4 linked regions of the Diceros bicornis minor genome follow. The protein of the gene in region 1 interacts with the protein of each later gene in a pairwise test. Links are inferred from orthologs where the notes say so. Each region holds a gene or a part of one and is shown in the gene's direction. Other genes may lie near its edges. The genes, in order: EXOC1, TRIO, KIF5A and RESF1.

What was found.
Region 2: the proteins of EXOC1 (region 1) and TRIO interact in a two-hybrid assay, tested with the Homo sapiens proteins (2 studies listed by BioGRID and IntAct). The link is inferred for Diceros bicornis minor from reciprocal best matches to the Homo sapiens genes EXOC1 and TRIO.
Region 3: the proteins of EXOC1 (region 1) and KIF5A interact in a two-hybrid assay, tested with the Homo sapiens proteins (2 studies listed by BioGRID and IntAct). The link is inferred for Diceros bicornis minor from reciprocal best matches to the Homo sapiens genes EXOC1 and KIF5A.
Region 4: the proteins of EXOC1 (region 1) and RESF1 interact in a two-hybrid assay, tested with the Homo sapiens proteins (2 studies listed by BioGRID and IntAct). The link is inferred for Diceros bicornis minor from reciprocal best matches to the Homo sapiens genes EXOC1 and RESF1.

What each region holds. Positions count from the first base shown.
Region 1 is NC_080747.1:43,525,315-43,533,081, forward strand, and holds the start of EXOC1 (exocyst complex component 1), read left to right. Parts: upstream 1-4,765; 5' UTR 4,766-4,917; intron 4,918-7,767.
Region 2 is NC_080759.1:50,414,912-50,422,383, reverse strand, and holds the start of TRIO (triple functional domain protein), read left to right. Parts: upstream 1-4,459; 5' UTR 4,460-4,895; coding exon 4,896-5,052; intron 5,053-7,472. UniProt on the Homo sapiens protein: Guanine nucleotide exchange factor (GEF) for RHOA and RAC1 GTPases. Involved in coordinating actin remodeling, which is necessary for cell migration and growth. Plays a key role in the regulation of neurite outgrowth and lamellipodia formation.
Region 3 is NC_080756.1:11,425,194-11,433,089, reverse strand, and holds the start of KIF5A (kinesin heavy chain), read left to right. Parts: upstream 1-4,890; 5' UTR 4,891-5,069; coding exon 5,070-5,198; intron 5,199-7,896. Other genes in the region: DCTN2 (dynactin subunit 2), read right to left, coding at 814-882, 1,787-1,822. UniProt on the Homo sapiens protein: Microtubule-dependent motor required for slow axonal transport of neurofilament proteins (NFH, NFM and NFL). Can induce formation of neurite-like membrane protrusions in non-neuronal cells in a ZFYVE27-dependent manner.
Region 4 is NC_080756.1:31,828,261-31,835,550, reverse strand, and holds the start of RESF1 (retroelement silencing factor 1), read left to right. Parts: upstream 1-4,288; 5' UTR 4,289-4,636; intron 4,637-5,100; exon of another isoform or gene 5,101-5,155; 5' UTR 5,156-5,248; intron 5,249-7,290. UniProt on the Homo sapiens protein: Plays a role in the regulation of imprinted gene expression, regulates repressive epigenetic modifications associated with SETDB1.

The sequences.
Region 1 (7,767 bases):
GTAGGAAAATGATGGAACCTTGAGATTAGAACGGGGACATTTGTGTGGACATGCTTTAGAATTTTAAACCCCCAGATTTTTTGCCATTCTCTGTGCCAACAGTCTCCTTCCTCTTGATAAAGGAAAGCAGCCTCTTCTTGTCTGGAAATGCTGCACAAAAAAAAAATATGTGGGCAAGTGCCTCCTGATATGACCTTACTTTCCTCAATAACCACCCCCATTACCCTCATGGCTTCAAGCCCGTAACCAGAGTCAGATCACGGCACAACCCATGCAGGGGATTGTAATCCCTACTCTAAAGAGAACTATACCAAGATTCCTCAATCTCAGCACTAGTGACATTTTGGGCTGGATAATTCTTTGATGTGGAGGGCTGTCCTCTGTATTGTAGGTTATTTAGCAGCATCCCTGGCATCTACCCACTAGACACTAGTAGAACCCTCCCAGTATTGACAACCAAAAATGTCTCCAGACATTACCCAATGTCCCTTGGGGGTCAAAATCACCCTCCAGTTGAAAACCACTAAACTATAGACTAACTCAAAAGGAATTGCAAAACTGGCTATTATGTACCAATAGACACCAGTGGAATATGTGTGAGAGTGAATATTTAGAGTATCAGACAGAGGAATCGGGTTATAAGGCTGGAAGAGAAAACTTAAGAGATAGTGCCATTTACCTGTGATCTGGATTTAATGTTTTGGCAAGGACACCTGGAGTCAGTCCTAACACATAGCCTTGGTACCTCCTGAAAGCTTGAGTATGATGATGGCCGGTGCTAAATGAGATTGTTAGAACAACTTTGAATAAGTATTGAGAAAGGAATCAGAAGACTCAGGGAAGCAGGAATGTCAGAATGAATTTATTATGTGAGACTAAAGAACCACCACTAGAATATGTTTCCCAGAAGTAAAGATGTTGTAATGAACTTATTGTGAAACTAAAGTACTCATTACTTGCATACGTTGCCCAGAAGGGCTGTGACGCAAGTTGCCTAATGCTTAGGCCATTTGTTCTAGCAGATCTAATGGTGCTGGAGGGATCTGTGATGGATAAGAGCGCTGCGTGAAATTTCTGGAAGGCCCCCAGTATGAGAGTTGCAGCACAGATTCCCAAGAGTTCTCCAAGGCCATGCCTTCTGAGGCAGAGAACTATTCTCCACTGGGGAAACTAGAGCTATCTATCATGAGCTGGATATTACCAGATCCACCAAGTCATAAGTGCATGGGTGCGGCAGCAGCAACCTACTGAAGTACGGAAACGGTATAGGATTGAGGCTGAGCAGGTCCAGAAGACACAAATAAATTACATGAATGGATAACTCAGACTCCCATGGCACTTCTATAGCACTGATATTTCTTTCTCAACTCACTCCCATGGCCTCTTAGAGTTCCCCACGAATACCTAACACAGAATAAAAAAATTGAGCCTGGTTCACAGATGGGTTGGCACATGATGCTGGTGGGTAGGCAAAATTGGACTGCTGCTGCACTATAGCCCATTTAGGGATGGCTTTAAAGAACAAAGTTGAAGGGGAACCTTCCCAGTTGGCAGAATTTGGAGCAGTATTCTTCATTGTTTGCTTTGTATATAAAGAGAAGTGACCTGAAGTAAAAATATTTACAGATTCCTAGGTTTGTCTTTCTTGCCTGAAGGGACTCTGCCAACATCCACAATCACTGGAATTATACCATTCCTGATTAACATTACCTCAACCAAGCAATACATTTTACAGTCAAAAAAAAAAAGTGACAACATACACATGACCCTGGAATCCACTGATATTGTCATATCCCTCATCACTCAGAAGCAGCCAGCATTATAAAAATGGTGGAATGACTTGTTACTGGCTCAGCTAATGTGCCTGCCTGAGATTGGAGTGTTGTCCTACAGGATGTGGTAAGTGCTCGAAACCAACCAATAGAGAGCACCCCCAACAGCTAAAGACGTGACTCCAGAAACCCAGGAGCAGGATTGGCCTATTTTAACATCACTCTCAGTGACCCACTTACAGAGTTTGTGTTTCCTGCCTCTCAAATTTAGGCTTTGCTAGATTACTATAATTAGTTCCCCAAGGGTTGGGTGGAGGATGCTACCCCTAGAATACACAGGATGGAATGCACTGAGCTGGAAACTCTCTCACTATCACTTGGTCTCTTTGGGCTTTTCATGGCAGTAGACCAGCTGGCAAAGAAAAGAGTTACTATATTGGTGGGAGTAATCAACTGCGATTAGCAAAAGAGTCTGGGATTGCTACTACACAATAGCAGTAGGGAGGAATAAATCTGGAATCCAAGGAATTCACTGGGGTTTATCTTGGTATTTCTGTACCCAGGGATAAGTTGCACAGGCAATCATGGCCTAACCAGAGCAAGGAAAATGAAAGCTGAAGGTCTGGGTTACCTCATCAGGGAAACAACCTAGATCAGTTGATGTGCTAGCCAACAGTGAAGGGACATTAGAATGGGTAGTAGAGGAGGGAGTTAATGAATACAAGTAAGGTCTTGGCTTCAGTGTAGCAGTAGGTACTGAAGCTTATTCCACTAACTCTCTTATATTAAGTCCTTGCAGAGATTGTGAGTGGCCATCATCTTGAAGGGGCCTCTGTAAAGGACTAGACTTAACAGGGCACAAGCAGATACGAATGGTACAAGGAGTGGACTGAAATGGACACCTTCTGTGTCTTTCTGTGTATTTTCTGTCACTACTTCAAATCCTTTCATCTTCTTATTCCAACCACTGCTGCAGCAACATGTTCTGAACAGAGGTTGATGAGTTTTGGGCAAGTACACCATGACAGCACCTCTCCTCTTACTTCCTGCCTCAGGACTTCTGTGATGGGGGAGTCAGCTTGGCATTCACAATGCTGCAATTTGGAAGTGTGGAGTAGTCAATGCCCAGGAGCATTAACCTTTGATCAAAGGTGGACAGGAGCTGACAGAGGACAGAGCTTTCAGTGGACTGTTTTGAGACTCTTTCATGAAGTTTGGTCCCAAGGGATCAAGAAAACATTCAAACATGATGATGCCAACTCGATAACACAGCCTTATATTGTCTCTCCCTCTTCCTTGTGTTATTTCCCCTCCCCCTTCTCTCACTCTTGCTCTCTGGGATCAAAGCCCTAAATAAACTACTGCACATAACTCTTTGTTTCAGCCTCTACTTTTGGGGGAATCCACAAGGGGAGAGGAGAGAGGAGAATTTAATTTTTGGACACACAAGTTTGAGCTGCCCAACAGACATCCAAGTGGAAGTATTGAGGAGGCAATGGATACACAAATCTGGAGTTCAGGGAAGAAGTCCAGGCTCCTGAAATGCAATTCACTTCTCAACTTTGAAGAGGACAGTAAATACACACGTAAAAAGAAAGATATAGGACAAAATAGCACATGCAATTGTCATATAAAAAGTGTCCATAGTAAGTGTTCTGAGACTGAGTGGGAAGGACCTAAGGAGTCTTTGTAAAGATAGGATTAGATACAGATCCTGCTCTTAGAAGGGAAGTCATTCAATGAAACTGAAAAGCATTCCAAGTAGCATTGACTAGAGCATATTGATCTCAGTAGCAAACAAGTCCCTACTATTTCTGCTGATTTTTCCACCAAATTGTATCTTGATACATTGAAAGATACTTTGCACAGCTCATTTGTCCCTTTCTCAGTGAATCCATCCCTGACAAAGTGAGTTACTCCCTCTTTTGCATTCCCGTGGTACTTAGTCTCTTTTTTTCTACCTTTGTTGTTGGGTTTACCTCACTAGACTGTAATTTATCCATCTTCTATTTAATTCTGTCTCCCCAATGAGAGTGTGCCCCCTTCTGAGTGTATCTCAGCACCTAACACAGTGCCTGGCATAGAGGTGGCGCTGTTTGTCAAATAAATGAACGCATGCATGAATGGATCCCTGCAGAACCCTTGCAAAGGACTGCGTTGAGCAGGAGCAAAGAAATCGCTCCTTTGAATTCTCAGCACTTATCTGACCGGTACCTCTTGGTCACTTATTTTGTCTTATTTTATACATATTTGTATGCATATCTTGTTTAGCCCTACCATACTGTGAACATCTGCAGGGTAGGATTCCTGTCTGAATCACCTCTGCACCTCGATCAAAGTGCCTGGCATAAAACAGGTGCCAAGAACATGGAATAAATGAATCACTTGCCTTGCAACCAGCAACACTGGCATCATCTGTGCTTCTCAAACTTAAATGTGCATAGGTGTCATCTTGTTAAGATGCAGATGCCAATTCAGTAGATCTGAAGTAAGCGGGAGAGGCTGCATTTTCTAAAGAAAAGCCAGATGATGCACAAACAGCTGGTCCGCGGACCACACTTTTGAATATCAGGGTCACTACATCAGTGGTTCTCGACGGTAGATGCATAGTAGAATCTTCTCAGAAGATACTAAAAGTACTGATGTCTGGGTCCCGTGCCCCAGAGATTCTGATTTAACTCATTTAAACTCTCCATGCAATAAGTAGCAAGGATCTAGAGTTAACAGAGCTTTACACATGCAAAAAAGAAAATACTTCATCGGATCTCTTCTTATATGACTTGCTGAAAATATCTGAATAAATAACTCTTTTAGAGAAAGTAATACGCAGCACCAAATCCCCAGGTCCCTAGTCACTCTCAGAGCGACAGAGGCCCCGCCCCTGCCTTCCTTGCCACGCCCCTCCGGCGGGAGCTTGCCCCGCCTTGCCACGCCCACCGCCGCATCTCCTTCCTCCTCTACGGGGTCGACTTCCGGCGTGGAGGCTTGTCACGTGCCCGGATATGGGAAGTGGTGGCGGAACGGCTGCGTCCTCTCCACCGCTCAATTGAGGGGAACATCTTTGTCACGGTGGTTGCCCCAGCCGCATCCAGTCTCCGTCTGGGAGGACGCGCCTCGGCACAGCCGGGCTCGGTCCGGTCTTGCGGTAAGCCTTGGGCCGCGGCTGCGCAGTGGTCCCGGCGTTGGCGGACAGACGAGCGGACTGGCGGGCGCCAGAGTCTAAGGCGGACCCTTAGTCCCACTGCTGGCTCGGCGCCCGGGGTCGGATACCGCTGGCTCCGCCGTCAGGCCCCCTTTCTCTTCCCTGCCTGTCTGGGTAAGGCGCAGAGTCCAGTCGGAGCATCCCCCAACCCCTTGCTGTCCTGGGGTCTGGGAGGGCAATCTTTACACATCCCTTTCCGGTTCCGCCCAGAGGAACCAGATTTCATTTGTAAAAAAACCGACCCTGATCGTTTGCTCTTTGGCGTGGACCAGGAGAGGAGGGCGTGACAGTGCCTTCCCCTTCATTGTCCAAATCAACATTTTCGTCTAAATCTCTTAAGTGCATTTCCCTGGTTCCGTGCACAGTTTTCTGGATGACAGTGCTCCACGCGCATTGATGTCTCGATAGCATACAGGGCCCAACCCGCACGGACACTGACACTGACAAGTTATTTGTCACGCAGTGGAATGATCCAAATGAATTTAAAGAAACAAGAACCAACACAGTATTGTGGCTGACTGCCCTTGGAACGTGGTCAGACATGGTTCTTAAACCTGGAAAATAGTTTTAGAGGACCTCTAGTGATTTATTCACTGACTTACAAAAAGGTACTGTACAGGCTGGAGAATTAATCACTCGATCCGTGGAATGTAAATGCCATTGGAGGCGTGGATCTTCCTGTCTTCGTGAATATGTCTGTCATGTTCACCCCTGTAACCTAGAATAGTGTCTGGTGCTTAGGAGGCATCAATATTTGCTGAGTGAATGAGAGTCACATAGTGCGTTTCATTATGCCTAACTCCTTTATGAGGTATGCCCCGTCCTTTCTTGTTTTACCCCTTACCATACAGTCAGTGGTTGCTTTTGATCAAAGAGGGGCTGTGTGGTAGATGCTGGCTACTATTGGTCATTCATTTGACCAGTTTTTACTAGTCAGTTCAGGTTACCTCAAGAGGTATTTGTTGAGTACCTGCTAAAAAAGAACAAAACACTATGCTAGAGCATCTCTTTCCCTCACTTCTCTTTCAGGAAAGTTCTTGAGATCCAGGAGCTTATGATCTCATGAACCAATTAGTGCTTGTTTAGTAAATACAATACGTGCTGTAGCAATTGAGAGGAGAGATCAATTTGGATTAAGATCTGTATTGAATCAACTTCATATAAACCAAGCCATGTAATTAGGATAGATGCTATTCCCTGCATGGAAAAGCACCTAAGCAAAGGTTTAAAGACCGAATGAACAGAGGGCTTGGAGTGGAAGGTTTGTATTTGGGAAGATTAGGAAAATGTTGAGCAAGGGCATGTTGTCGTGAAAGCTGTGTTTTAATGTTATTATTTGCTTTTGGGTTGTGGAAGTTTGCAAAGAGCTAACCAGATACAGTAGTGTTAAATAGATATAGTTGATGTGAACCTGGGTTAGTGTGTTGACAGTGGGATCAGAAAGGAAAGATAAATTATGTGTAGCTGAGGGGAAATCAACAATGTGGTAGCAAATTGCATGTTGACAATGGAGGAGGAGAATCACATATGACAGATTTTGAACCTGGACGTTTGCTTACAGATGTGAGAGTTGGGAAGGGGGAACCTTAGGGAAGCTATAATTGTCATGTTATTTGGTGCTGTCATTTTGGCTAATTTTTTAAATGCCTGTTATATCTTTGGCAAGTTCTAAGTATACAAAGATGAATAAGCCATAGTCCTTGCCTACAGAAGCTACTTTTAATGGGGGAGAGAATACAACTAGCTACAAAATATGGTTTGTAAGTGGTATGTTAGCAGAGCAGAGAGGAAATGTTAGAGAAGTAGAAAAGGAATTCTTTGTGTGTGTGTGACTGCTTCACAGAAGAGAGATGTTTTAGCAGGATCTTGCAGGATGAGTTGGAGTTTTCCCAGGAAGAAAAGAATTCCAGGAAAAAGAAATTGCATGAACAAAAGCCCAGAGATAGAAAAGTAAACTAGCCAGTATCCAGTGTGACTTGGGGGTAGGATGGAGTAGAGCTTTTAACAAAGTGTGTAAGCCCTAGGACATAGTAAGAGATTAGTAACATGGACATTTGGTAATAGGAAGAATGGAGGTTAAGATGGGTGAAAATGTAGAGAGATGGAAAAGAAAGCCATTGGGGAAAATTCTACTTCATGGCTTCTATATTCTCTGCAGGGTAGATGGTGAAGTCATTTGCAGCGAGGGAGGAAGCTGGCACTAAAGTTGGGGTCTGAAGGAGAAAAATAAGGATTTGCAACAAGACTGATGGAGAGTAGGAAGAAAAATTATCAAAGGAAGTGTTAAAGAATTGCTGAGCACCATTGAAAGTCTAGCTTTGACTGGATTTAGATATTTGTAATGAATGCAATGAACGTGGATATGTGGCCTTCTTAAGTGGCATATGGTAGCCCAAGAGAAGTGGAGGAAAAAATACAGTTTATGGAGATTGATAAACAAGGTGCACTGGTCTACAAACAGTATAAGATAATTGAAGGGGAGAGTGGGGGTGTAGGGAAGTGAATACTGACTGTAGGCTAGGTTGGAAAAGAAATTAAGCTTGGAGAGGCCAGATAGACTAAGAAAACAGGAAGGAGGAGATGGTTAGAAGACTAGAGGCTGAGATGAGATAAAAGAGGGATGGAAGTGGGAAGATGTGATTTTTGTGAGAAAAGCAATTTTGTGAGTTGGAGCAGAGATAGAAGTTTCACAGATTGAGTAAAATATAGGAGATACCTAGTTTACAGAAGTGTCATTGTGTTATAAAGATTCTTTCTAAGTCATTTATTTAAAACTCATAATTTCTTCATTTT
Region 2 (7,472 bases), on another chromosome or scaffold:
GGATACAACTTTCACCTGTCTCTTCATCCTCCTCCATCTTCAGGGCTTCCTTGGTGGAAAAGTTTGAGAGGCGCTGATAAAGAACCATGGCTGGTCTATCTGTTAGGAGCTGGTTTGGCTGCACAAAACTGAACACCCACCTCGCAGCCCCTTGACTACATCAGAGTCTTCCTTTTCTTGTATGTTTCTGTGGAACAAGAAGTCTGGAGGTGGGCAGCTCACTCAGCCATCAGTACCATATGCTTCTGTCCTCACGTGCACCCTCTCGTAGTCACACAGTGGTCTCTTCACCTCCAGCATCTTGTCTGTATTCCAGAGAGGATAAAGGGCAAAGGGCATGCACATGCCCAGTTTGAACTCTTTCTTGTGAGCCCTGCCCAGTTCTTTCCACTTGTATCTCATTGGCCAGCACCCTGTCACATGGCCACCATAGCTGGGAAATGGAGTGTTTTAGCCAGGCATGGGTTCTGATAAGAAGGAGAGAAAGGATTTTGGGTAGACAATTTGCAATGTCTGCCCCAGCTGGCTTTCTCCATTTCTTTTGCTTCATACCTTTGTGCCTGGTCCAGTTCTAGGCACACAGGAGACATGCTGATGCTTGTGTACTGATTGCAAAGGATCTCCTCATCTTGTAGGCAAGATATTAAACACGAACGGTGTAAATAATATAATGCAGTACATGATCAAATGCCAGAACAGTGGGTGCTGCAGAATACAGAGGAGGGAGAGATCAGTTTGAGTTATGTAGGAGCTTCATGAAAGGGGGTGAAATTTGAGCTCAATTTTGAAGGTTGGGTAGGATCAACAGCAGCTGTCATGAAACCCTGTTTAGATCCCCCTACACACGCTCAGATGGCAGAAGGAAAAAAACCTGCGTGCAGCCTCTTTCTCTTATTGCAATCTGGGTGAGCCGTAATGCATGTCCCACACTCAGGCACAGGTCTTTTATATTGCTTTCTTGGAAATGACTCTACCTGAGATGGGAGAATTGGTCACTATCTGGGTCTCAACCCTAGAGAGATCTTTTTGCCCAAATACACATTGATCATTCCCTCTTCACCCTGATCCCCAATAGCAGTACTACCACGCATTCACTTTCCCTTTCAGGCCAACTCCTAACCCCAGAACTTGCCTCTACCCAAGAACCCTCCAACACAATTTGGCTTTTTCCAGCTGTCCCAAGTACTATCACTAAGGTATTGCCAGTCTTTCTGTGGCTGCATGATATCCCATCTGTCCCTTGCCCCAGCAGTTTTTATTATTCAAATTCTTGCCCTTTATCCACCATTTAGGCAGCAGAGGGGGGCTCTGTATTTACGACCGTCAGGGTAGAGTTACAATGGGAGGGAGATAAAGAGAAAGAAAGAAGTCAGCACTTGGCTTCTGAATTTTGAGAGACACTTCAGAAACCCATGGCCGAGGTCATAATTGGAGGGAAAGGTTTTTTGAATATTTAAACTGAGTCTCTTAAGAACACAAAGGTTATGCCATAAACAATAGATTTGGAAGAAAGCATGGTAAAACGGGAGTGAGGTTTTCTTCCTGCAGGGGAATTAATTTTGTAATTTGGGGGAGAGGAGATGGATAGCATTAGACCCTGATGTGAGTCTCTGAGAAAGGAAGTCTGTGCCCAGGTAGGCTTGAGGGATCTGGAAGGAGGGAGAACTTGGCCTCACTTTCTGGGGTGGGGGTTGGAGGGTGGTGAGGTGGGTCTGAGCACCCCAGTGAGCAGTTGACTGTTTTCCTGAGAGGTTGGGAGTAGCTCAGGAGGGGTGTTGACTGCCAGCAGACCTCAAGAGGCCCCATGGTTGGGTGAGGAAGGGGCCAACAGCAGAAGGCAACAAGGTCATAGCAACGCCTGCAGTCCAGGCAGGAGTGTCAGGGACGGGCACAGACACAGGACACATCTGCACTGGTGCCAGCATGAATCCATGATGACTAAGGACCAGGTGCAACCTCCTCAACCCCACCCCACGCTGTGGTACCACCAATGCCTCTGGGAGCTTGGCTGCCACCTTGGGGAGGACGTAAGAGGGGGAAGGCACTCAACTAACAAAGAAAGTCCCTGGAGATGGAGTTTTCCCTGAGCTAGCATTAAGCTTTCTGCCATGAGGGGGAATGGGAGCTGGGGACAGAAATTAACTTGGAGAAAAACAAGAAAAGGGAACATTGTGAGCACACCTGAGCTAATGGCCTATGAAATTTGGACCTACCGCATTTTTTCTTTTTGAGACACTGCACTTACAATTTTAAAACAACTTTTAAAATAAACTTTTATTTTAGAACAGATTTAGATTTACAGAAAAGTTGTAAAGGTAGTATAGAGTTCCCATATACCCCACACCCAATTTCCCCACATTACTTACAATTAATGAATCAGTGTTGGTACATTATTATTAACTAAAATTCATATATTATTCACATTTTCTTAGTTTTTACGTAATGTCCTTTTTGGTTCCAGAATCCCATCAAGAATACTACATTACATTTAGTTGTCATGTTTCCTTGGGCTTCTCTCAGCTGGGATAGTTTTTCTAACTTTCCTTATTTTTGAAGATCTTGACAGTTTTGAGGAGTACTGGTCAGGTAGATTGTAGAAAGTCCCTGAATTGGGATTGGTCTAATGTTTTCTCATGATTAGACTGGGGTTATGTGCTTTTGGGAGGAAGACCACAGAGGTAAAGTGCCATTTTCATTACATCAAGGATACATACCACCCACATGATTGATCACTGTTAATGTTAACCTTGTTCACGAGGCTGGAGTAGGGTTTGCCAGGTGTCTCCATTGTGAAGTTACTCTCCCGCCCCTCTTTCCATTTTGTAATCTTTGGAAGGAAGTCAGTATATGCAGCCCATAGTTAAGGAGACGGGAGTTCTATTCCATCTCATTGTGGGCAGAGTATCTACATACATGATTTCAAATTCTTCTGCATGGGAAATTTGTCTCTTCTTTCCCATTTATTTACCTAATCACTTATTTATATCAGTATGGACTCTTGGATATTTATTTTATACTTTGAGTTATAGTCAAGTGTTGCTTTATTTATTTTGTTGCTCAAGTTGTTCCAGCTTTGGCCCCTGGGAGCTCTTTCAAGTGGTTCCTGTGTTCCTTTGACAGACCTCTATCATTGCTGTGGTTGTTGATTTAAAAAAAACTTTGTTTGAACACTTCCTTACCTTCTGGCACAACAGGATGCTCTGGGCTCATCTTGTCTATTTCCTGCCTCAGTCCTAGAGTCAGCCATTTCCCCAAGGAGCCCTGGTTCCTTTTATTGGAGAATGGTGTTAAAAACAGGGTCTGAGTGCCAGGTGTGCTGTTGCTACTGCAGGTGTGCTGTTGCTACTGCAGTGTCGTTTCTAAGTCCACTCAGCTGACAGAGCAAGGAAATATGTGTATGTGTACTAATCTGTGTATATACACATATCCATAAATCTTTTTATATATCCATCTGTATTTATGTTAAGCTAAACATGAATTCATACTGATGTCTCCAACTCTAATCCAATACCACATGGATCTTTCTAGCCTCCTCCCCCTGGTTATCTGTAACCTCCCTCTCCAATAGTGAAAAACCTGGTATGCACCACCCAGCATTCATTTATTTAATTGTTCAGTTCCAGTATACATGTATAGTGGTTTCATCATCCAGTTGCTGTTAATCAATGTTGTCTCTGCTTCTCCTTGTTTTCCGCATCACTAGATCCTTTAACCTCTGACACCCATCCTTTCTGCTCACTGCTCTTGTAGCCACGTCATAGGCGTTTTGAACTTGAATACTTGTCAAACGCTGGTTTGACATGGACCTTCCATAAAGCTGGATGTCGCCCACCCCCCCATTCCCTTTGGTTTCCCCGGCCCCCATCACCTTTCTCATTCTTTACATTTTGGTGGAGTAAGGACGGAGGGGAGGTAGGTCTGGAATCTCATTTTACAGACAAGGAGGCTTATGCCCCCATGAGTTGAGGCTTGCCCCACTCACCTCCGGGTTTTCAAGAACTCTCTGTTCATTCAGCCACTATTATGGAGCCCCATCTACCAGCGCCGGCGCTGCGCCAATGAGCGACACACCGGCCCAGCGTCCGAGTCGCCGGGCCCCGCGGGCGAGATCAGTAATAAGCAGCTCGAGCGCTCGGAGGACGGTGCTCGCAGTGCAGGACCGAGCGCCCCGGCGGGGGGCGCTACGCTGGGCCTGGAAAGGTCCGCCCCAGCCGGTCAGAGCGTTCCTCCTCCTTCCAGAGGTTCGAGCTGCCCGGGCGGAGGAGAAAGAGCAGGACCGAACGCTCCCGCGGCCGCCGCCGGCCCTCTGGGCGCCCCGCAGCCCGGCGCGGCCCCGCCCCTCCCGCCAGGCCCCGCCCACCCGCCGAGCCCACGCTCGGGCCCCTGACGATGTTCGCCGGAAATTGCCGAAGCCCCCCTTTTTCCTTCCTCTCCCTTCCCTGCTCTCCCTTTTCCTCTCACCCGGGTTCCCTCGGCCGTGATTTCCCCCCTCCCCCTCCTTCCTTCCCTATTTGAAATCAAGATGGAGGCTCGCGGCTGTCGCCGGCGCCCGTGATCCCGGAGCTCCCGCCGGCCACGGGCCCCCGCCCTCGCGACTGCGTGTCCGGCGCGGCGCGCGCTGCTGCCCGCGCTCCGGCCGGCGCCGCCGAGGCCGTGGCTCCGCGCCCCCGCCCCGCGGCCAGCTCGCGGCTCCCGGGCGGAGTCCTCGTCTATGTGGGCGCGCTCCTCGGGCCGAGAAGCCGCCGCCGCCCGCCGCCGCCCCGGGGCTCTGCGTCCGCGCGCCGGGCGCGGGCAGCTGGGCGCTCGGAGCCGCCAGGCCCGGCGCGGAGCGGGCGGCGCGCGGCGCTAGGGGCGCGGGGCCCGAGCCGGGCGCGGCCGCGGGCGCCGCCGCAGCCATGAGCGGCAGCAGCGGCGGCGCCGCCGCCCCCGCCGCGTCCTCGGGCACCGCCGCCACGGCCAGCGCGGCGGGCTCGGGCTGCGGGGGCGGTGCCGGCGAGGGGGCCGAGGAGGCGGCCAAGGACCTGGCCGACATCGCGGCCTTCTTCCGATCCGGTGAGTGCAACTGCGGCGCTGCCCGCGCGCTCGGCCGGCCCCGCCGCGGAGGCGCGGTCCGCGGGCCCCGGCGGGCCCGGCGCGCTCTCGCCCGGGCCGCTGCACCCCGCGCCGGGGCTCCGGGACCTACCCCGGCGTGTCCCGCTGCCCGCCGCCCCGCGCGCCGCGGCCCGGCCCGAAGGCGGCCGCCTCACCCTCCCCTGCGCCCAGCCCCCGTTCCAGGGTGAAATCTCCCGGCTCCCGCCCCGGCGCCCGCAGCTCCACGGGGTAGGGCGCCGGCTCTTTGTCTCCTTTGCTGGAGGGCCGAGGAGGCGGCGGCGGGGATGGCGAGGGGGGAGGCCCCTGCCCCGGAGGCCGAGCGGACGGGGGCGGCGGGGCCGGGCCGGGAAAGCGGGCGGTCATCTGGGCCGGTCTCTGTGGCCGATTTGTCCCTGGACCCTCCTCGACCCAAATGAGCAGCCGGGTCTCTTCCCTCGGTCCTCTAGCCTGTCAGCTCCCCGGCCTCGGTCTACACTTCTGTGAAACGGGGCAGCCATGGCACTCGCTGCCCAGGGAAGTGGGGAGGTGGCCGAGATGAAGTGCGGCCGGCCGGGCGGCGGGTGAGCCTTTGTCTCTGGGGGTGGCCCGGCAGGGACATCTGGGAACGTGGTGGCCCAGGGGGAGGCGCAGGGCTAGGCGCTTGCGGGCCACTGCCGGGGTGGCGTGGAGGTGGAGGCAGTGCCAGGTGGCCCGGTGTCTCTCCGGCGAGGAGGGGGTGGCTGCGGGAGAGGGGAGCTTTGCGACTGGCCCGCGGGGAGGAGGCGCGGGGGGTGTGACGGGGCGTCCCCGGGACCCCGGCGGCGGCGCCTTCTCCCGCCCGGGCCCGCGTCCCCACGCCCAGTCCGGTCAGCTCGCGCTTCCGGGCCGGAGCGGAGGAGCAGGCGGCGGCGGCGGCGGCGGCGGCCTCGGGGCCCGCGGCCCGGAGCGCCGTGCCGGGCGGCCAGGCGCGGGGTGGAGAGGATGCAGACCCGGCCCCGGAGAGCCGAGGAGGGTGGGCCAGGTCGGCGCCGGGGTGGGTGGGCGGGCGGGCGCAGGGCGTGTGCGGGGTGCTGGTGGCGGCCCCTGGCAGGACGGCGCGGCCGGGGATGCCGGGGGAGCGGCCTGCGATGGGGCGCGCTCGGTGGCCTCTTTCAAAATGAAGTCCCCAGATTCGGTGAGATCAGTCCGGTAATCCGGGTCACAGGGAGCAATTTGCAGTAGGAGGGCGATGGTCAGAGGCAGAAGTTAGCAGTGTCCTTAGATAGATACCTGGTTTAGTACTGTCTTAACCCCGTTTTCTTGTTCTTTGCCAGGCAGGGTTATTTTTGAGGCATTTTAACAGATTGGTGGTGGCTGGGAGTGACATACGCCGACTCTATAGTGTCAGCTTGGGGTTAATATGCTCCCCAGGGTCCCCTTTCCAGTGAGGTCCCTGCAGGAAGCAAAGGTTAGGGAAAACGAACTCCTAGTGAAAGCCTTTTTTGGTGCAACTAGCCCGATAGAGCAGCCCTGTCTTACCTCTTAATAGTAGAACTGGGACGTCTTTCCTTCATGCCCTGAAGCTAAAGTCTAGCCTGTCTTCTCTCTGTCTCTACCACCTGTCACAGAATAATAGATTCTGTGCAGAATTCAGCTCCTCTCTGTTAGAAAGGCTCTTGTGCCCTGGAGATGGGATTTTTGGTGCTCGTGAGACCAGACTTTCTTACATCTTTATTATGCACAATAGAGAACTCACTTCTTTTGCTCAGAAGAGCCCCTAGAAGACATCAGGTTGGACTGGATGCCCACAGAGAACTTGCTTCCTGTCAGCGTGGCTCTCCCCAGGATTTATCCGGGGAGATAAATCTGTTGGTGGCCATGCCTTGGCCTGTGCTTGCTCCGTTGTCCAGGCTCCTCTTCACGTTCAGGTTTGGGCAGAACCAGGCAATGCTGCTCACTGGCTTGCTCCTTTTTTCCACCCTCCAAAATGATTGGACAAACTTCCCCTTTAGTTGTTTGATTTGGAACCAGGAGCCAGAGCAGATTTAAAGTAGGCAGCGGTTGCACTGTCCCATCTCAGGGGTAGTCTGGAACATCTTTTAAAAGTGCCTTTCCCTCCTTTGGGCAGCTCTGAATCCCTGACCTAGATCTTGGCTCCAGCATCTAGGGCGGTGATGTCTAGCAGAGAGTAGAGAGGTACCATTCAGTTGGATTGGTGGGGGTAGAATCGGGGGTTTGGACAGTCATGACTGATGAAGCGGGAGGACCCTGGATGGGGACCTCACCTGGTAGAGTGGCTCAGGCAGGGGCCATCCTGAGCAGTTTTGATTGAATTTGGTTGGCTGAGGAGAATGGAGAGGCCAAGTCCATCAGTAAAATCTGACATTCTTTCCTAAGATGTAGAAACACAGAGAATAGGTTCT
Region 3 (7,896 bases), on another chromosome or scaffold:
CATTCATTCAATTTTATTTTTTCTTCCATATGTCTCCTATATGTATACTAACTCCCCTATTAGTCTGGGGGATCCTTAAGGGCAGGGACATTTCTTCCTCTGCATTGCACAAAAACCAATACAAAATGAACACATTCAATCAACAATGATTAAGTGGTTCCCCTCATGGTTAAAATGTGTCCATAGCTAATTCCTTCCTCCTCAGAGCTCTTCTTGGATGTGAAAGTGCTACCAGGGCCTCTCCTCTGCTGATACGAAAGATTTATGTTCTTCCTCAAATTTGTTTTGCTCTGACCAGGTCCCTGATCTTCCTAAAATCTCCTAATCATTTTCTTACTCCTTGCCCAACGGATACTGGATATTCACATAAAAGAGTTTCCTCTATACTTCAAAATCTAGCTCTTGGTAGGACACTAATAAACATGTATTGAGTGAAATTTTTTATGAAATAGAAGGCCTAGGTCCTAACCTCAGTTTATAAGTGCTCAGGCTTCAGGATTCATTACCATGGACTAGCACCCAGGGGCCTAAGTCACTAGCCCCAAACCTAACTGTTTTGAGAGATTCAATTTTATTTAAAAGGCTGAAGATCAGGTCTTGTTAGCTGTAATTCCACTGACCTGACTCTCCTTCCTGGCATTGCTCATTGGTGGCTGTAAGACCAGCAAGGCCTTTGCAAGCCTTAGAACCTACATACCACCCAGGCTGGGTTGGCATACCCGCTTATTGCTGTGGTTCACCAGAAATGGGAAAGGGCCTGCCTGGGGGAGAGGTCAGAATCCAGAGGAGTCCTGAGGCAGCACATAGTCTTACCGCATCAAACTCCGCTTGATCATCCTCTGGTAGGTCGCTGGTTTCATAAACATCTGGCTCGTTCCTGGCCTGCAGGTAGAAGCAGTGACCACCCAACCTCACTACCCAGCATCCATGAACACCCCTGACCCCCCTCCATTTGAACAACTAATGGAGAAGACAGGCTGTGGTGCCAGGATTCTATGCATTCTCTTCCACCTGCCCGGGGAACTGCATGTCAGTTCCCATGTCTTAGAACGATGCAGATGACAGTGGGGACAACTGTGACCTGATGGTAAATGGTGAGTGTAAGTGATGACAAAGATGTTACCCTGACTCTGAAACGGGGGCGAGTTCTTGGCGTCCATTATGTCAGAAGTAGGAGAGGGGCTATGCTCGAATCAGGGCCTGTACACAACTACCCTGGCACAAGGGCTGAGAGTGACTCAGGACCTTAGTACCCAAGGTCCTGTGCCCCAACCCCCACCCGGAGGATGCAGGCAGGGCGGCAGAAAAGGAGGGTACATGCCGGCATGTGCCGGGGCGGGGTGGGGAGGTTCCCCGGAGGACAGAGTTCTCCATCTGGCACAAGGGTTTTGCCACGGTAACCTCTTCCTTGGCAGGGTGAAGGCCATCACCAAGTGGCCTGGTACGTGTGTAAGGGGGTGGGGATGCGGGGCTTATGGGAAGATTTGAGGAAACACGGGTGATGTTGACACAACACTCGGGCACAAGTGGTGAGCGCCTGGAGACGACTTCTGGGCCGAGAAACCGGCGACTGCCAGAAAAGGGGCCTGGCAGGCCGTCCCACGACCCGGCCCAGGCGGGTGGGAGGAGTCCAGGAGGTGCTGCGGCCCGTCGGGGAGCGAGCGGCGGGAGGCTCGGGGGCGGAGGAGGGGTTGCAGGCGGGAGGGGTCGCGGGTTGGTGTCTGTTGGGGGTCCTGAGGAGGTCTGGGGTGCGGTCCTGGGGAGGCGGGGCCAGCCCTGTACTCACAATGCCGGGAAGGTCGGCGTATTTAGGGTCCGCCATGGCGGCGGCGAGGCGGGGTTGGGGGACCGGGGCCTCGGTGGAGCCGGGGCCGGTGTTCGGGTAGGGGAGAGGCTGGGTCCGGGTCCCGGGAGAAGGCGGCGGCAAAGGGAGCGGCGGAGAAGGCGGAGGAGCAGGAAGTCTCGCGACAGGAGTAACACAGGAGAAGGGTAAAGCAAAAGTCGCGAGAACAGCCCGCCACCACACCCCTGGCGAGGCAGGGATTGGCGAGAACGAGGCCAGGGAATGAGGTAATGGCAGGGGGACGCCGCCTAGAATTGTGGGATATGTAGTCTTAGCTGATTGAGGCTTGGGCGGGCAATGACAATAACGCGCCTTGGGAGTCATTTCATACAACTTATTTTCTTCCATTTTTACATCAAGTCTGGGAAAGAGCTTTTATAATTCCTGTTTTCCAAATGAATAAATTTGGACTCCCAGAAATTAAATGACTACATAAAAATAATACAACTAGGCATGCTGTGGCACAGCCAGGGCTTCAAAAACAATAACGAGTAAAATTTAGTAGAGGCTTAGTCATGTTAGGAGTGAAAAAGTTAAGTAATCTTCTCAAGTTAGGGCTGTCAGATAAAATACAGGACGCCTAGTTAAATTTGAATTTCAGAGAAACAACTAATTTTTTTTTAGTGTAAATATGTCCCATCCTATATTTCGGAGTTTTTTTGTGTGTGTGTGAGGAAGATCAGCCCTGAGCTAACATCCATGCTAATCCTCCTCTTTTTGCTGAGGAAGACCAGCTCTGAGCTAACATCTATTGCCAATCCTCCTCCTTTTTTTCCCCCAAAGCCCCAGTAGATAGTTGTATGTCATAGTCGCACATCCTTCTAGTTGCTGTATGTGGGACACGGCCTCAGCACGGCCAGAGAAACAGTGCGTCGTGCGCGCCCGGGATCCCAACCTGGCCTGCCAGTAGCAGAGCTCGCGCACTCAACCGCTAAGCCACGGCTGGCCCTGGGACCTACTGACACAAAAAAAATTATTAGTTTTTTAATCTGAAATTCTAATTTAACTGGGCATCCTGTTTTTGTTTTTCGAATCAGGCAATCCTATCTCACATTCATAAATAGGTAAGTGGTGGCTCTGTGTCTGTCTGAACACCTGCTGTGCTCTTAACCACTTCACTAATAGTTTTCAAACTTCTGAATTTCACAGTTCAATAAAATCAAAACAATAACAATAAACCTTTTTGAAGATAGACATGATATTGCTGTGTTTTTATTTTGCCAAGTAAGTTCATTAAGGAAAGAAAACCTATTACTACTATTACCATCCTTACTTAATGGAAAGGTACAGAAAGACATATTCTCAGAATAAAAGTCCTTTGAAACTTAACAAATCCAGCTTTATGAAAAACTTATCGCATTGTATGTGTGTGTTTTGGGGGGAGGTATGCTTGGTGAACTTTTGTCTCTGACCAGTGACTCTCTATGGACTAGCATTTTGAAACTCCTTCACTAAGGATGCCACCCTGGAGCCCCTGGGGGCCTGAGGTTGGGATATTTCCTGAGCTTGCAGAATGCTGCAACACTTAGAAAAAGTGCCAGACTCAGTGACTGGAGAGATGCCTATTTTCTCGAGTTTGGAACTCATTGTCATTGTGTGCATACTCTCCTGGCTCCTCCCTGAGCCTCAACCTCTCTTTCTCCTACTGCCTTCCCATCCAGTTTCTTATGCGGGACCCCTTTCCCTCAGTTTCCTTAAGATTCAAGGTGGGTTAGAGGTATAGGCTGAATTCCAGAAACCCCCTCAGCTGAGTTTTGAGTGCTTAGGTCTTGTCTGGCCAGGCCATCATTCTCCCATCCTTGCCTCGTAGTGTCTAAGTGACCTTAGGCAATTGTTAGTTAGGCAGAACCTCCATCCCCTCCTCCTGTCTCCCATCACCCTGCTCCTCCCCTTGGCCAGAACCTCAATTCCTGCAGTCTAACTTCTCTGTTCGCCAGCAGAGGCCTGTGACGTGGAGAAAAATCAATTCGGCCAGCTTCTAGGTGGTTCTGCCCAGGGGCTGCAGCAGGAGTCTGACCTGAGGGGAGGAAGGACAAGGAATCTCTAGGCATGGCTTTTTTTTTGCCAGGGAAGGGGGAGAAATAGAGAAGAAAGGCCTGAGAAAGGGGCTGGGTGTTGGTACTCTGCCCAACAGTAACTGGGACAGGAAACACACTCACATATGTGCCTAAACCTGCCTGAAACCCTAATGCAGATGTCTGCCCTAGAGGTCCTCTCTGAACGCCCCTCTGGCCTTACCTGCTCCCATCATCACCCCTCCTTCACCACTTTCTAACTCCCTTTCTCTTGAAAAAGTTACTCCTCTCCACCTCCATCCCAGCCTCAACCTATGAGGCAAAAGTGAGAATTTTATCTGCTTTTGAATTCTGATAGCCCAGGATGGGAGTTCATCTTCCTTCAAACTGGGGACCTGGTGTGAATGTTGGGGAGAGAGTAGAGTGCACCTTTGGATGTAGAAGAGGAAGGGAATGGCCGGACCTCCCCTGACACTCCTTTCTGAAAAATGGGACCTGGACACCCAGCTCCATAGGGGTACAGGCAGCTGCCCTTGCAGGTTGAGTGGGTTGGGAATCTGTGCGGGGGTGGGGGTGTGGGGAGAGGGAATGAGAAGTGTGCTCCCAATTTGGAAAGATGACGTGACGGGGGTGGCCGATGCCCTGGAATAAAGCGGGTGGAAGCGCTGTTGACTCTCTTCTCTAAACAGGTTCAGGCCCACCTCAGACTCCTTATCCCTTCCAGGGGGGTGGAGTCCGAGGGAGAGACAGACAGATCAGGGATGTGGGGGGTAGGATGCAGTGAGTGACTTGGGTGGGGAAGGGGTGAGGGCAGGGTTCTCTCCGAGACTTAAGGTTGGGGAGAGGAGGGGAGAAGAGAGGAAAGGTGCCACCAGTCGGTGGGGGAGGCCAGCGGCTGGCCCCCCTCGAGGGAAGCCCCGCCCGCTCCTCCAGCGCGGCCCCGCCCAGGCCCGCAGCGCGGCGCTGCAGCGCGAGGGGCGGAGAGGCAGAGCGCCGAGAGGACCAGACGCCAAGTCGCCTGCATCCCGGTGCCGCAGGAGAGAGGAAGCGCGCCCCGGCCCTGCTCTCCAGCCTTCGCCCGGGCGCCCGCAACAGCCTTCTCAGCCCCAGAGCACCTGTCCTCTGCCTCGGCCTCAGCTGAGCCCCCGCCTCTGGAGCACACACCACCTCTGCCGCCCAAGAAGTGCCCCAGCCCCGCGCCGGCGACCACCATGGCGGAGACCAACAACGAATGTAGCATCAAGGTGCTCTGCCGATTTCGGCCCCTGAACCAGGCCGAGATTCTGCGCGGAGACAAGTTCATCCCCATTTTCCAAGGGGACGACAGCGTCGTTATTGGGGTGAGTGCCGCCCCAGGAGGGAATTTCGGGGAGGAGGGGGTAGGGTGAATCCTCCCCTCGGCTGAGCCTTAGCCCCTGCCTATCGCTCTGCGCCCACTCCCCGCGGCTCATCCTCGGTCCTCTATCCTCTTCGCCGCAGCCCCTCCTCTCCGCTGCATCAGGATGGCTGGGTGTGGCCTGGCCAGGCTGACGGCCAAGTCTCCGCAGAGGGGGCTACTTCCCCGCGATCAGGGGACCCAAGTCCGCGTTGCTGCTCTCTGCAACGTCCCCACCCCTTAGAGCCAGTCCCGTGTTTTTCCGATGTTTTCCCTCTCCCCTAGAGAAAGCGCATCTTCCCTTTGTTATTGGCTCGAATCTCTACCCCCAACTCCCGGGAAGGGAGGAGGAAGACTAGTGGATGGATGGGCTGGATTGGAGGTGGGCAGTTCGGGGTCTCTGCGGAGGTATACATGAGGGTGGGCTCCAGGACCAAGCCCTCTGTCATCCCCTGAAGTAGTTACAGCCTGGAGTTGGGGGGAGGGAAGGGCTCTGATGAAGGGTTTTCTGAGAAAAAAATACATTGTGGCCACACCCAGTTTGGGGGGGAGTCTCTGGGGTCCTAAGGAAATAGCTGCCTTTCCCTCTGGGTTCAGCAGGAAGAGGATTTCAGACCCCCAACTCCCCCTAACAAATAAAAATAACCAAACCCTGAGATCCTAACAAGTACTTGCTTATTCATCCTTTCTCTTGATGATCCAATAAAAAGTGGCAAGCTACCTCTACCTCATCATGACAGCCTCTACCCCTAGAGGAGATCTCATTAAGAAGAACTAATATTTACTGTGTGCTTGTTACTCTACATATATTATTTAATCTTCAAAACAACGCTCTGAAATAGGTATTAATATTTCCATTTCACAGATGAGGAAGTTGAGGCCCAAAGAAGTTGAATGACTTTCTCAAGGTCACACTATTAATTCAGGGATCTGAACCTAAATCTGTGACTCCAAAGCTCATGTCTTTTTCTCTATATCACATTGCCTCCTCAGATTTCTTTTCTGGACCTTTATCTGGGGTGGCCCAAAAGGAATTCCTAACCCACCTCTCCTTTCCCAGGTTGGTAGGGACTATGAGGCTATGGGTGAAAGGATCTGGGGTCGAGTCCAGTAGGGCTTGAAGGGTGCTGGACCAGGGAACTGTGGCCAGTTTGAGAAGGGAGGGGCACGTATGAGGGCAGTCCTCAAGGTCAGGGGCGCTTGTTATGTATCCTTGATCCACAGTGCTTGGCACAAGGTGGGCTTGTTAAAGGAAGGAAGGAAAGAAGGGGAGGGAGCCTGGGCCTTCTTCATCAGTGAGCATGGGACTTTGAGTAAACATGCCTTAGGAAGAGACCTGCTTACAGGTTCTGTCCCCAAGGGCCCCAGTCTGCCACCATGCTGAGCTCTCACCGCACTGTGAACTCAGATGGGTGCGTTTGCCTTGTGTGTGTGTTTGCCACATAGAGAGAGCCCCTGTTTCTCTTTGCCTCAGGGCCCTTAGGCCTTGCAGTCTGGCCAGTCTGGCCAGGCTAACATCATGCCTGGATCAACCCTGGGGGACTCCCTTCTGTGTAGTCTGGATAGCCAGCCTTAGCTATGAGCATTGGAGCTTAAGGTCCCCCTGAGACACAAAGCCTGAGAAACAAGAGGGAGGAGCAAATCCACAAAAGGCTTCTACTTTTAAGCCTGGCTTCCTTGCTGGAGGTTTATCTGCTAAGTCTGAACCGACTCCTTCCAGCTCTCTGGGCTGTCCTGGTGTGGTGGGCATGGGGCATGGAGTGATGTTGGGAGGAGGAGGTGTGGTGTTGATCTGTCCAATTTGCTAGACAGGAGAGACACAGAGGAAGGTGAGGAGGGAGGAGAGATGAAGAGAGGCCCAGGCCCCCTGCCAACTCAGATTCTATCTTAGTTCCACAGCTGCTCCTTCCTTATCTGTTTCCCCTGATATTTGTAGGGCTCTACCTTTGTCTTGCTCTGTATCTTCCCTCGCCCTAGCCCTTTTTGTCAATCTCTCACTCCAAGATAAATGCTTCTAGGGGGCCATTTTGTCTCAGGCAGCATCATTGGAGTTTGCCGTCCCAGCCTTGCTATTCCTTCCTCATTCGGGAAGATGAGGGCTATAGGAGAAGTGAATTTGAGGAGACCCTTGAGGGTCCCAACAAGGGAAGGAAATCTCCTACCCTCTTTACTCTTTCCTCCTCTAGCTCCCTTTGGGGCCCAGTGTGTGAGAAACTGTCTGAGGAATTAATGGAGGCAGCTGCTTCAGGATGTCTGGGAAGGTGAGGGAAGAGGGGGGGTGGGAGAGGAAATCTCTCCAAACCCAGCCCCTGCTCCTTTCTCTAGCGGCTCTCCTCCCTGCCTCTGCGGCACTGCAGCTAGCTCTGGGTTTCAGAGTCCCTAATGTTCGTGTGCTTTCTCTGCTTGGCGGAGGGTAGGAGAATAAGCTGGAGAGACAGCTCTGCAAGCCTTATCCCTCTCTCACTCCCCTGACTTCTCCCAGGAATCTGGGGGATGGGGCTTAGGCAGAGTTAATGGCCTGAGTCATAGCAGAAGGGTGTCTGGGTCACTGTCTGTGTGCTGTGTACCTTGTTTTGCTCTTTGTGTCCCTCAGAATCCACTGTGACTTTTTCATTGGACCCATTTTTTTTTTTAAAGATTTTATTTATTTATTTATTTTCCCC
Region 4 (7,290 bases), on another chromosome or scaffold:
GTGTATCCTTACACCAATACCACACCTGATTATTATATAGTAAGTCTTGAAAGCAGGTTGTGAAAGTCCCTCAACTGTTCTTCAGGATTGTTTTTGCTGTTCTTTGTCCCTTGTATTTCCAGGCTCAGGTCTCCAATTATCCCCTTTTGTCAAATCCAAAGGGTATTTTCCAGTTTATTCTTACTTGATCTGTAACAGGATTGAACATTTTTTACTCACGTGAATCTTTCTTTGCTTCCATGATTCCATTCTCCTCGTTTTTCTTGTCTTTCTGGCTATTCCCCTGTCTCTTTAAGGCATACTCTCCTCCCTTGCCATTAAACATGGGAGTTTTTCAAGACTTGGTCCTGGATCTCTGTTCTCATTTTATACTTCAATAAGCTAATACTCCTTCATATCCAGAACTTAATCAACCTGTAAAAGATAGAAATTTACTTCTCTCTCAGTAATAGTCTAGCTGATCCAGGCTGGTGGAGAGCTCTTCTTTACAGATCTTTCAGGATCTAGTTTCCTTCCATTTTGTTCCTTAAACATTCCCTTAGGCAGGGGTTATAACCTAGAGTACATTATATTAGTTTTCTCTTGGTGACATAACAAATTACCACATACTGGGCTGCTTAAACAACACTGACGTATTATCTCAGAGTTCCACTTCCAAGCTCATTCAGGTTGTTGTCAGAATTTATTTCCTTCTCATGCTTCCCACGTGGCCCCCCTCCATATAGAAGCCAGCAACAGGGAGGTGAGCACTTCCCATGCTTTCAATCTCCGACTTCTCCCTCTGCCACCTCTCTCTAGCCTCCTCCTCTACCTTCTCCTTCTGCTTTTTAGGCTCATATGATTACAATGGGCTGGGCCTACCCAGACAATCCAGGCTAATTGCCTATTTTTGGGTCAACTGATTAGTAATCTTAGTTATATCTGCAAAGTCCCTTTTATATATACGTAATATAACCATGAAGTAACACCAGGAGATGAAGGTCACAGGGGCCAAAATTCTGCTTACCGCATCTATGCATAGAATTCAGGAATACCATAAATTTAGATGGCCAAACAATTCTATTTTCACTAACATTTTACTGAAATGTATCATACCCTTCAATTATGAATGTTGGCCAAAAAAGCCACAGTAACATAGCAGTAGTAACACTAAATTTGTCACCATAAAAATGACAGGTATTTTCGTATTATTAGAATTAATGCAGACAATCTTGAAATACAGTCATGTGTCGCTTAATGACAGGGACCTGTTAGGAGAAATGCATTGTCAGGTGATTTCATCATTGTGCGAACATCATAGGGTGTGCTTACACAAACCTAGATAGTATAGCCTACTACACACCTAGGCTACATGCTACTAAACTTATGGGACCAACACCGTATATGTAGTCCATTAAAACATCGTTATGCTGTGCATGACTGTATCATTTATGTCTACCACTTTCAAAATCACAGTTGTTATTGGATCTGCTAATACATTTTATTTATTGTGTTAATAAAGATATACATATTACCATATCACACATTTGTTTTTTAAAATATTTTGATAACTTTCATATTGAATTAATTTCCTGTGTTATCTCACATAATTTACTTTAAGCATTCCAAAACATTATCCTAAGAAGGGGTATATGGGCTCTAACGAAATGGAGAAAGATAGAGGAATTCCACAGTAAGGCATTCCCTTAGGCAGAAGTTGCATATAACATTTCTGCTCATATGTCATTGTGAGAACTGAAACATGGCAATACTTAGCTGCAAGGGAGGCTTGGGGAATGTACTCTCAAGTTATGTGACCTTGTACCCAGCTAAATATTACTAACAGGAAGGGGAAACAGAATATGGTGGACAACCAAGAAAAGAAAAAGAAAACCAATGACCTTATTTATGACAAATGAATAATAGGCATCTTTTGTACACCAACATAATTTTTTTTTTTTTTGGTGAGGAAGATCAGCCCTGAGCTAACATCTGTGCTAATCCTCCTCTTTTTGCTGAGGAAGACCGGCTCTGAGCTAACATCTATTGCCAATCCTCCTCCTTTTTTTTCTCTCCCCAAAGCCCCAGTAGATAGTTGTACGTCATAGTTGCACATCCTTCTAGTTGCTGTATGTGGGACACAGCCTCAGCACGGTGTACTGAGAAGCAGTGTGTCGGTGCGCGCCCAGGAACTGAACCCGGGCCCCCAGGGCCCCCAGTAGCGGAGCACGCACACTTAACCGCTAAGCCACGGGGCTGGCCCCATAATTTCTTACTATAGGCATGCTAACGATGTCACGCACTTTTCCAAAACATGTTTTATAAGTTTAGGAGTCAACGCGCCTTGAGGCTAAGTAGTATGCTCTTGAGAGATTGACTTACCTAAGAGAGCCTTTGTTTTTGAATGTTGGGAAACACAGGGAGAGGATCTGTAATCTTTGATAAGGGACACAGCATAGAGCAATCTAATCTTTTGGTGGAATCTTTCCTCAGCCTGACCAGTTGGATAACAAGATTCTTTGTAACTGGGTTGTAAATATCTTAAAGAGAAGGCAATATAAAGCCCCACCCCTGATTAAACATACTTTCAGGTCCCGGAGATTGTGTCCTCTCTTTGCAAGTCTCCTTGCTGGTGACCCTTCAGAGCTGCTATATTGATGAATGTCAGTTGTACTTTAGGATTGGTGCAAAGACCAAACACTTTTGGAAAATCAGACAAGCTTTACTTATCTAAGGGAGAAAATCAGCACAGGCGAAGACAAGGAGACAGGGCAGAGAGATCATCAACTTCATCCTAAAAGGAGTTGTAGCTTCCTGGGCATTAAATCTTGCTGGGCATTAAGCCTTCCTCAGGCTGTATAGGAGTGGGGTCCCTATCAGACTTTCTGGCAACATTACTCCCTCTCCCTTGGGTTCATTTCTGCTTGCTGATCGCTGTAGCTTAGGCACCAGAAAACTCCTCATCTAAGCCAAGAGCACCATTCCATTTTCTGGGAGCTGCTCTCAATTATGTGTTAATTCATGTAACTATCTCAGCAATCCTATGAGGTAAGTGTCAGTGTTATTCTCATTTTACAGATAAGAAAACTGAGCAGAGACAGGTTAAGTGATTTTCCCAAGGTTGTATGTCTAGTGAGTGGCAGAGCCAAGATCTGAACCTCAAGGGCAAAGAAATACCCTGCCATCCATATCGCAAGAACTACCTACCTCTGCCCTTTGTCATTCTTAATCACTCAGACAGGATTCCCTTGTTGAGTTTCTCCTATAAAAGCCCTCCTATACAAAAGGTCTATTTCCCTTTCTCTGAGAAGGTTCCTCTGAATTAATGGATGTTCTCCCTACTGAAACAGCCTGGAAAAAATCCTCTCCTTACGTTTCACTTGGTGCACTTTCTTTCACACGCTTTATGGAAAGTTTGTCGACCCCATGCTCCAGATCACTGGTTCTGAGATCAGTAGCAACAACCTGTCCGGTGCACTTGTTAGAAATGTACATTTTCAGCCCCACTTCTGACCTACTGAAATCGGCAATTTTCCAAGCGGCACTTTTCAATCCCTTTTAACAAGCCCTCCGGGGCGATTCTGATGCAAAGTAAAGGCGGAGACTCACTGCTGGATAAGTTTTCTCCACCAGATACGAAAACTTAACTTTGCAAATCTCAGCGCGATCCACCGGAGGGCGGGGCAGGCCGCGGCGCCTGCTCATCCGGCGGCAGTAGGACCGCGGCGGCGCGGGGCTGGGCGCTCCCGCCGCCGGCCGGGGCGGGGCCGGCTGGTCGCGGAGCCCGGGCCTCGCTGCTCGCCCCGCCCCCGGGGGCGGACCCGAGGTGACTTAAATCCTGGGGCCGGGAGGCCGGCGTGCCCTCGCTGCTGGCCCGCGCGGTGCTCGGGGTCCGTCGGTAAGTGCGGGGCCGGGGGCCCGGCTGGCCCTCGCTCGCCGTCTGGGGTCCCCGCGGGGCGGTGGGCCCCGGGAGCCCGGGTGCCGGCGGGAAGGGCTGCGCGCGCGGCGGCCGAGCGCTTTGTTTTGCAGCGGGGAGCGGGCCGCGGGCCGCGGGCGCTCGGGCGGCTCCGGGCCGCGGGCGCCGCCGGCTCACACGCCCCGCGGGCCGCCGCCCCGCTCGCTGCCCTGCCCGGACGCCGAGCTGGAGCCGGAGGGCGGCGCCGAGCCGGTGTTGTCTTTACCTCGCCTTCCTCCTCACGGGAGAGCTCGCGGGCGGCGAGGGCCAGGACGCATTTTGTTCAACTATAAGGCGGTTTGTGGGTGTGAGACTAGCTTATGTTTTTAATGATTTCCTGTCGCTGGCGTGAAAAAAAAAAAATCTTTGTTTTTGCATTTACCAAGTCTCGAGCGTTCCCTCCCTCCCCCTCCCCCATGATGCTGAACCCCCCGAAACAATTGACCCCGCTGGCATCTCCAGGTGGCCCGCGAACGCGTCTGCCGGAGATGCTTTCTGTTCCTCAGCAACGTTTAGTTCCTCGAGGCACTTTTAAATGCACAAATGCATACCGATTTTAGGTGTTCTCGAGGGACGCGAATTCTCTAAGCACATTTCCTTAGGGTCGTGAGTTCAGCAGCCAGTTTTCGGGGAATCGTCCCAGTGAAAACAATTGATTTGTAATACCTTTAGTGCCTACCTCCAAAATAAAGAGAACAGCAGGTGATGTGTATGCACTTGAGGTGCATTTTGATAGGCGGGTCGCAGAGCTTGTTTGGGGATTTTTGTGCTTAATGTGTTAGCTGTAAATCATATTTAAGTTTTAGTCAGTGTTACCATGCGCGAATGTTAAGGTTTTGATTACCTATTTTTTTCCTGTGCAATCAGATTCTCTTTTACTGATCCAGTAAAGAAAATTGCTAAGGTGAAGTATTTTTTTTTGGAATGCTAGGACAACATGGACCTGGAGGAGCGCAGATGAATTCTAAGTTAAAAAGTGAATGGTATTTTAGACCAGATCTGTTTTCTATTTCTATTACTTTGTACACTTAATAAGAATTCAGTAAACTTAGTATGCTTTTGGTGCACTCTTAGGAACACAGGTTTGCACAGTAATGTCACATCAAGTAAACATTAGCATGGACTTTTATTATAAATTTAATGTAAATTTTACATAAATAAAAATATAATATAAATTTTATTTTAAATTATTAGTTATAAAATATTTCTTGCCATCCCTAGGACCAAAGAAGTAAACACTGTAGAGGCGTACTGATGTGTTTGGAGGGAAATGGGAGCATATACAATAATAGACGAGTAACGTCATATTTAAAGGTAAGTATGTCACCTCTAAGTAGCTTACTCTAATTTATGTTATGGAATAAAATTATTAATTAAATGAATCAGCATTGGTTAAAAATTAAACTATAGGACACAATGGATTTGGAGGAAAACTTCCCTTCTAGGTTCTTTGGCTGGTTTAATAATTAAATTGACATAAGACAGATGAACGGGAGAAAAACAAATGTATTTTCATATGTACGGGAGCCCATAAAAATGAGACTCAAAGAAGTGACCAAAGCAGGCAGCTTTTATACCTTTTAGAGAAGGAAACAATAAATTTGTGAAGAACTGACTGGACAAAGGGTTTTGGGCGTGGGGTAGCAAGTTAGTGAAGAAGTAACAAGGTTTGTTAATTCAGCCTTCTCAGCACTAAATTCCTTATCTGGTGATAAGGATGCCTTCTATTCTCTTGGTACCGAAAGTGTACCTTTCACATGGGAGATTTACATCTCGCTTGCAGAGAGACAAAGGAGGTTGGAGTGTCCTTGCACCAGCTGTTTCTTAAGTAACTTTAACTCAAAATAATCAAAATGCTGAAGTGGCATATTTTTGGGTGGCATATTCTGCTCCCCTTCTGTGACAAAGGTCGAAGGGAAATAATATGGTTGGCATAGCATGGAGAATTCAGTTCATCTTTGCAGGATATGAAAGAGATTATTTATGGTGGGGCAACTGTGGTCTAAGTTACTTGGGCAGAGTACTGCTTAAAATTATTCTCCACATGCTCAGTTTCTTATTTGATTGTTTTTATTTATTTCTGGCACATGGAGTTGGGGGAGGGTAGCACAGAGCACAACTCTGGGAGAACCATTCCATGAGATACCAACCTGTAAAGCCAAAGCGATTGTCTCCAGGGCCATCCCGTAAACACCAAGCTGTGTTAAGAAACTGTCTGTAATGATTAAGCCTATGGTCCCTGCAATCAGACTGCTGAGCTGCAGATTTTGGCTTTACCACTTATTATGTGTACAACCTTGGGAGAATATATTTAACCTCTCTGCCTCCGTTTTCTCATCTGTAGAATGTAGGTAACAGTAGTACCTCCCTCGTAGGATTGTTGTGATAAGTTACCTGAGTTTCATACATATAATACTTGGAACTGCTTCTGACACATAGTAAGTGCTCAATAACTTCTAGCTGTTGTCATGTTATAGGAAATAAATTTTATGGCCCAAGACAATAACACTACCTTGGAGGAAATTCAGCTTGCTCATTTAAGCTCTAAATCAGTTTATCAGCTTTGTGTTGATTAAACCCTTCTCCGTAGATCCTGTTATAGGTTCAGTTTTTGTAAGGAAGTACTAGACCCAATTCTAGTTTTTACCCGCAGTCTTGTTTGAAATCAAGAATGCCTCCATTAAATTCTCTAGCCAGGGCAGATTCGCCCATAAGCCTTGTTTTTCCGTCTGTCTTCTGTGATGTACAGGAATCTCTTCCCATTTAGATATATCAATGTCTTGGACACAATAGGAGCTCAAATATTTAGGGAATTGATTTAAATTTACAAAAGCATTTATAAAGATGAATTTCAAGAATTTTTTTTGTCTAACCAGGCCTTCACCACCCTTGCCCCATCCCCCCATTGGAGGCATACTCTTTGTGAAATAGACCTGGAAAGCATTCAATTTGAGATAAAGAGAACAATTTACCAACTATGTCTATAGAGATGCAAGTTAAAAATTACTTTGTAATAAACCTTGTAAAGAAAGAAGTAATCTTGGACCTTGAAGGATTCTAAATGCTTTGTTGGGAGGCAGCTATGTAATGTGCATATTCTTGAGACCCTAAGGGTGCTTGTAAATTGAAGGGCAATGTTGGAGGCTGGCCTGTTGAAGTAAATGTCTCAAGTGAGACATTTGCTCATAGTTGTTGTGATTGCAGATTTAATGACAATCATTAAGATTCTCTTGAGATGTATTAAATTACAAGACTTCATTTGTAAATAAAATCTTTAACTTGTGGTTAAAATTGCAAAGTGTTATAAGAAATTATGTCATTCACTTAAGTTTTAAGAAACAGAAATCATAAGCAGA